2 linked regions of the Oryzias latipes genome follow. The protein of the gene in region 2 interacts with the protein of the main gene of each other region in a biochemical or structural test. Links are inferred from orthologs where the notes say so. Each region holds a gene or a part of one and is shown on either strand. Other genes may lie near its edges. The genes, in order: hematopoietic lineage cell-specific protein and caspase 3B.

Region 1 (3,155 bases), on a different chromosome or scaffold from region 2:
TTACATACGGTAGTTACCATAATCTGGTTCATAATGTCTGATTAAAAGCATTACATTATCCCAAAAATTATAAATATTTCAGGATGGCTGAACATGGGGGGTGTTTTCAGAGTCTGACCTGTTACTGTAGGAAGAGGAGGAGCTTCAATAATTTCATCATAATCTCCTTCATCCTCTTCCAGTGATCTTCCGGGCAGAGGCGGAGCCTCTTCTTCAAAATCCTCTGGGCGTGGCGGCAAAGCTGGCGGCTCATCGTATTCCTGTTCTTCCTGCAAACAGAACTCGTCCATTTATGCATCTACTAAACCCCTTCTTCCTGTTCGGGGCATTGACAGTAAATGAGAGCTGGATCGAGCGAGTGTGACATCACTCATAGAAAAAGACTTGTGAAATGAAGACAGTTTGGTCGCCATACGGACGCCATAACCTAAGTAGCGATTGGTCCGAGTGGGCTGTAGCCTACGGTTCTATGGGAACCACCCTCGCCAATCAGGAGTGATCTTATTGTAAGTCCACGCCCCTACCAATATAAAGCATGCTGCACAAAATCTTTCAAACAGACGTTTTCAACATTGGACGTGGGGGGGCCAGTAGGCACTGACTACTTTTATTGAGGCATTTGATTGGTCAGTTTATAACTTGAATAACTTCAACTACAGGAAAAATATAATGAAAAAAAATCAGGATTAGCAAGAACATAAAAAAGGGCAAGAATGGTTATTTCTCTATTAAGTCTATGGGATTTTGGCTTTTATTCCTTTTTGGAATAGGGGAGGGGTCACTTAGTCCAGTTCTCATTTACACTCGACGGTTCAAGGTCATGGGATTGCTGGAGCCTATCCTACTTCTGGGTGATTGCAGGGTATACCCCGGACAGTTAGCCAGACCATTTTAGGGCCGCAAACACAACCAAGTCTGTGATTTTAGTGCCTTCAAGTACTCCTATGATTTGTTTTTATTTTTTTTCAGAACCAACGTTTACTTTAACATATAAATACTCACTGTATGTGCAAAATACATTTTGTATTTAGGTAGAAACAAGAGAGTTAAGGTAAATTTTGAATCCAATGAAAATCCTTCTCTAATCACGTCTGTTACATGTGGAATTTGTCATCAAGTCTCACCTCCACCTCTTGAGTAGGCATTTCTTCCTTTTCTGGGGTGTGGTAGTAGGCTTCAACTGGCGGCACGTTGTACTCTGGAGCCTTATCTACAGGCGGGGGCTCTACCTCCTCATCTTTGAGCTGCTCCAAAAGCAAACGGCACAGAAGTGGCTCCTTGGTGCACAGAAAGCAGCTTAACAAGTCCTGGTGAAATGTGGTGTTACCTCCTGTTTGCGTTTGACCTCCTCTCGCTCTCGGCTTTCCCTGGCCTGCCTTCTTGCTCTTTCTTCTTCTACTTTCCTCCTGTTCTCCTCTTCTGAGACTTTAGCCAGGCTCTCAAAGCGAGCCTTGAGCTTCCCCGCGCCTGCACTTGCTGCAGAAAAAGGACAACTGTCACTACAGAAGTACTCCATTATAAAAATGCTAATAATTTCTAATATAAAGCCAAAAAAAAAAGAAAAACAGGATATATAAAAAAGGTTTTAAGGAAGATAAGAAGAATATTTACACAAAAAATGAAAAATGATAAGCTTGTGAGGACAACCCAAAAACGTATGCATTTCTTTCTGTGGGGTGAGGTTGTGGAGAAACACGGAGGAAAGTATCAAAATGAGTGAAAGTGTTACGCAATTAAAAATCTTGGAAAAATATAAATTAGAAAATGAGGAGCCTAATAAAATGGGTGGACAATTGTGACATTGTTTTGGTACTATGATGCTTTTATTTTGTGAATAATGATTATATTTCTCATGTGTAGAAATGAATGCATAATATCTATGAAGAGTTTTGGGTGGAGAATTGATATGATTTTCTTCTACCCACTTTTTTTCCATGCAATTTATTGTAAAATGACTTTTTTATGTGAAGCTTGAAAATAAAGGGATGTCAATCAATCAGTAAGATAGACGGTTCAGCCTTTTAAGGAGACAGACTCACACGCCTCAACTGGTTTGGTCTTTTCATAAACAGAACTTGGGGAGTCCTTGCTCAAGAAGTCTGTTGCATCCTAGAGTCAAGCAGAAATAAAGTGATTAGAGTAAACAAAAGCAAAGTTCCTACTTTTGTCTCAATTACAACTTTATGGTTTGATGACTACATTATTTATCCAGCCTTTTTCTAAAATATTCAGCATAAAATGTTAGCAAAAGATCTAGTCACGTATGTGTACAGAGAGATTTTAAAAATGTGTCACTTCAGCCTAATTTAAATTAAAACAAAAGGAAGAACAATGGATGAAGAAAAAACATTTATGCCACTGTTTGGCATGGCAGAGGTGTGATCATGATTTGAGTTACGTGCTTTCATACCTTTCCTGGAGAAGTGAACTACAAAACCAAATACAGAAAATTCAAAGTGTCCTTTGAAGACACTCATTAATGAGAATAGCTATTTTTGGTATTTTTAACATATTCTTGCAGCATTTTTCTGACGATGGAGGACATATATAAAGAAAATTAAGCTTAATAAGGCATTTCTAAATATTTCCTCATTCAGATTATTGTGAATCAGGAGCAGACGAAAAACAATTCTGTTTGAAATACAGCTTATTTGTGACGTATGCACATTAATAACCACATTTTATGCGACCGTCTTTATTTTCCTCCTCAGAGCTGGTATCTGGATGAACCTTGTAAGGTGGCTGGATAGCCAATTTTGATGCACCGATAACGTTAGGTTGAGGGTGTAATGAGCTAGCATGAGTGCGTGTAAACCGATGGATTATGGGAAGTGGGGGCAGGCCTACTCCACAGCAACAGTCCCACCTACAATTTAGAGGTGAATTTCGAATGAACTCCTGCCGCTCTGCAGAAACTATGTCCGAAAAATGGACACAGGTGTTTTTTTTTATTTTGGCAAAAAACGGCAAATTCATGATTAGGGCAGTCCAATTTTCACGTTAATCGCGATTAATTAGTTATAGACATTTTAGCGTGTTTTTTATATCGCGTTAATCTCTTGCATATCAGAAGATGCCTGGAGTGACCCCTTAATGTTCAATGATCAGTGAATGCTGACCTTATTCACGCGGCCCACCTGACCCCCATTTCCACC
Region 2 (4,380 bases):
GATGCTACCTGGAGCTGTGGAGAATGCGTACAGGAAGTCAGCTTCCACTGGGATCTTGGTGGTGTCTTCTTTGGAATCTGCTTCAATGCCATCATCCAGTTCGGTGCCTCTGCAAGCCTTTCAGTGTCCACAAACCCAAACCAAACATTTTCACAGACTGATAGGAAAATGATGGTGGGCAACAAATGAGAGGCTTTGGTCGTACCTGGATGAAAAACAGTTTGGGCTTTCCCACCAGTGATTTGCAGTGATCCCCTCGGAACAGGGACGTCAGAGTTTTGAGTTCTATCGAACCATCCGTGCCGAAGAAAACGCCCTCGTCGCCATGACTCAAAAGGATGCAGACGAAAGAGGCGGAGTCACTGTGGTCCATCCTTGATACTAACAAAAATAAATCCAAAGCAATAAAATATACCAAAAGGATTATAAATATCTATATGAATAAGCACTGGAATGTTTAAAAGTAGCATTTTGAAGAGAGTGTGAATCATACTAACCATCAGTCAAAAGCTGTTTAATCTGTTTAACTGTCTGGTCATTGTAAATCTTCACTCTATAGCCCAACTTTGAAAACACTTTCATTGCAGAGGCTGCATCGATGTCTGTACCGTTTCGCTGATTCATACCTAACAGAACAAAATGGTGTAAAAAAAAAAGTCAGCAACAATTGGTTTAGTAACAAAACAAAAAAGAATTTGAACCGCACAAATTTCCTTAAAAAACCTTCAAACAGTGGTCGAATATGAGTGGTCTCATATTAGAGTGATTTAATATGTGCAAATTTATTTCCACAGCTCTTGTTGTGCATTAAAAGTCACTTTTTTGCCTTAATCAGACGCTCTTTTGTCACAACTAGGCTGTAACAAAACAAAAAAAAATATATGATTATGTTTTACAAAACTGTCTAACATCTTCCTGGACACTGAAAAGTTGAATACACAGAGCAAAGCTGAATCTCTTAATGTATGTTCTGGATAAATCATGCTTTTTAAATCACATTTAGGCTTAATATATGTTGTATATGTGCTACTGCAGGTCTGACTAGGTTCCTGCTGCATTTCAGATAAGTTATTTTAAGAACTGTAGTCCTGATAGATTATTTTTTGTTTAATATTTGTACATTCTATTTAACAAAGCAGAACATTATCCGTTTTTGACTGTTTATGAATTACTACACCATAGTTTTGTACAGTCTTATAAAACAGCTGAACCTAAACATTAAATCTAAAGCTTCATGCTCATCCTGGCAGGCCACAGAGAAAAATGAAACACTTAAGGTAGACAAGGTTCCATTATATTTCTGCTTTGCCTTAATTTCATTAGCAAATGTTACAAAGTAAAGGGGCCAAACCAATCAAAACCATCAAAATTTTAGAAGTGAGAGACTAATGTTTATCACTGACAGTGTATGTTTTTCCTCAACATCTGTGAAAATATATTTTCTTGGATAACTAAACTATTTCTGACAAGTCTTCAGTTTAGCCTGTAATAATAGGAGCTGGGATAACCACTTCAATATAGAATCATTTTCCATGCCAGAGTACAGGAAAATAGAAATAAAAACAGGGATCACCGGTTCCTCGATCAAAATTCTTGTTGTTAATGATGATGCAGAGGCCGATGGTGGGAAAGTTGAGGCTGTATCTAAAGCTGTGAGAGGAGGGCTTCCCATCGACGTCCATGCGATCAGGAGCAGGTGAAGCCCCTGCTGCCCTGCAACACAACATAACACAAAATCAACTTTACCTAAACGATATAAATCGAAACAGGAAACAATCAAAAGGACAAGTGGAGGGTTCAAAGCCACAAGAGACACGGTAGTTATTTTCAAATGTTACATTTAAAAACAGGCACTAATAGGCTTCAAAAAAATTATTTTTGTTTGAAGTGTCCTCTTCTACTGACTTACTGCACCATAAATTACAGACATATTAATAATAATAATAAAAAGAAAATCAACAAGAAAAGTCAGATAAAAATTCACTGATCTGTAGTTCTGGGAAGAATACCGCAAGAACAAAGTGTTTGTTTTAGGAGGTAACTGTCTCTTTTCTTCTGTCATGTTGCAGAGTACAGCAGAGCAGGATTCCTGCATGTTTCCCTACATATTTTGCTCTGTCATGCTTCAATTGGCTGGACACACCTGATCCAGGTGATCAGCCGTGAGTATCATGGCAATGCTATCTGGAAACCATGCAGACACCCCGGACACTTAAGGCCTGGAGTTCCCCAGCCCTAAAACAATCATGGCCTCGTTTTTTACCCCCAAAGATATCTCCATTTTCTGTTGAAGACACTCTCCTTTAAAAAAAAAAGCTCTTTTATTTTATTTTATCCATTTGTTGGTTTGTATTGTTCTTGTTTCACGCGGTGAAAAGTGCTATAGAGAGGCTAAAAACAAGCACACATGCATACAAATCATGTACTTCACCTCAATCATTTCCTGTATTTTCTAAAACATCTGCTGAATAAAATGGAAAAACAAAAACAAAATGCACCAAAGGCCTCTGTGTACACACTGACACTTTTCTCATTTGTTCGGCAAACAAACGTATAGTTTACGAGATAATTAAAAAAAAAAAAAGTTTACGAAATAATTTGTTCCCGGAAGTCCGAATACGTGAATGGGTTTCCAAGTTCACCGAGGTCCATAAATAAGAGGTGACAGAAACATTATTGACTCACAGTTCTCCATTGTCTTTCCTTGCGTCTGTAGAATCCTCTCCTGGTCGATTTGACGCCATATTTTCCTCTAAGTTAAGTTGAACGACTGTAATAAATTAAATGAACCGCCCTGTGTGTCGTGCAGTAGTAAACTAACACAGCGGTGTCCTTTACAAGACAACACTACGCTGCTCTCACAGCTTGTAGCATCAGCTAGCTAAGGAACCGACCTGGTTAATAAACAAAAGGGTTCTGACATGCGCAGACGCGCCATCAGCTCACGGGCGCCCCCTATTGGAACTATGCCCCAAAGACAATTAAATAAAGATTAGATTTTAAAACGAGTAAGAATTTGATATGTCTACAGTTTAGAATTTGCCCAAATGGAAAAGGTTCGATATTTACTTGCCAAAAACAAACTGATTCCAGGATACTATTTTCCAGGATAATATGCAGAGACAATACACCATAAAGTGTACTTAAACCTAAGCTTAAGAAAACATTTTTAAACACACTCATCTTACACATAAATAAATGATGGCACACACCCTTCTAGTTTTGTAAATAACTGTAGTTTTATTTACACAGTAAATACAAGGGCATTATCAACAAAACCAAATAATACTTTAACCCTCAACTACTGCTACCACACACAAACACAACACACAAGGTGATCTTTCTCCTCCAACAGTCTGTACTGATTAAATTACAAAGGCAAGGCCTCCCTTTAAAAATTAATAAACCATTTTAAATTGTAATTGGATAGTTTGTTGGGAAAATGAACACCACAAACAGGCTTGAGACAACCCAACCTGAAAGAAACAAGAAAAAAAAGTGAATGCTTGAAACGATAGTCAACTCTCCTAAAGATACCACTATTTCAGTTCCTAAAATTAAAAGGTTGATCACTTTTATTGCTCTAACTTTGAACAGAAAGTTACTGCATAATTCAAGGTGACATCTCTGCAAGTCCATAATATGTGAAAATGAATTAACTACCCACAAAAAAAGGAAAACATTCATTTTTGGGATCGCAAACGTAAAACCAGGAGCTATGACAAAAACAACATTTACAACATCTTAAAGTACACAACATCCGTATAGCACGGTGAAAATCTGTAAATGTTAGATTAAAAATGTCAATTCTAACTCTTGGGAATAAATTAAATACCGTTTAAAATGAAAAACTTTTTGCTGCACACAAAAGCAAAGGTTACATTAAACGAGGGAACTCAAATGCAACTGTTTTGGTGTTCTAGATTGATTTCTAGACCATCTTTTCACCATTTTATTAAGAATTTGCTTATTTCTTATAATTTTTAGTGACTTATTTGTACAAGTGCACTTGCATTTAGGACAAAAACGTTTTTGTCTGCTTTAAATTCCTGACATATTGCCAAACAAAATGTAGTTTTTACTGCTTTAGTGCTACCTTATCTCATTTAATCCACTTTGTATCACAGCTATAAATTGAGGCACATCTTAGTTAAAATCTACAAATGCAGCACATTACAGAAGAAGAATCACTCAACAGGTTTAATATCAATAACCTCAAAGGAAATCACCAAGCTGGTTTACAGGTATAAGTGGAACTCAGTTATTTAATCACTTTTTTTTAACAGTTGTTTTTCCATCAATTTGCATCAGAGTTTATCAGCAAGCATACCCCCCCTCAAGGTGTACAATAAATTCTGATACAAACACTATATAACAGTT

Evidence for each region.
Region 1: of the proteins of caspase 3B (region 2) and hematopoietic lineage cell-specific protein, one has a biochemical effect on the other in vitro, tested with the Homo sapiens proteins (2 studies listed by BioGRID). The link is inferred for Oryzias latipes from reciprocal best matches to the Homo sapiens genes CASP3 and HCLS1.

The regions. Positions count from the first base shown.
Region 1 is NC_019881.2:17,764,240-17,767,394, forward strand, and holds part of hematopoietic lineage cell-specific protein, read right to left. Parts: coding exon 3,120-3,155; intron 2,110-3,119; coding exon 2,040-2,109; intron 1,477-2,039; coding exon 1,328-1,476; intron 1,245-1,327; coding exon 1,125-1,244; intron 270-1,124; coding exon 119-269; intron 1-118. UniProt on the Homo sapiens protein: Substrate of the antigen receptor-coupled tyrosine kinase. Plays a role in antigen receptor signaling for both clonal expansion and deletion in lymphoid cells. May also be involved in the regulation of gene expression.
Region 2 is NC_019859.2:19,919,017-19,923,396, forward strand, and holds the start of caspase 3B, read right to left. Parts: upstream 2,846-4,380; 5' UTR 2,745-2,845; coding exon 2,686-2,744; intron 1,714-2,685; coding exon 1,574-1,713; intron 627-1,573; coding exon 498-626; intron 382-497; coding exon 206-381; intron 118-205; coding exon 9-117; intron 1-8. UniProt on the Homo sapiens protein: Thiol protease that acts as a major effector caspase involved in the execution phase of apoptosis. Following cleavage and activation by initiator caspases (CASP8, CASP9 and/or CASP10), mediates execution of apoptosis by catalyzing cleavage of many proteins.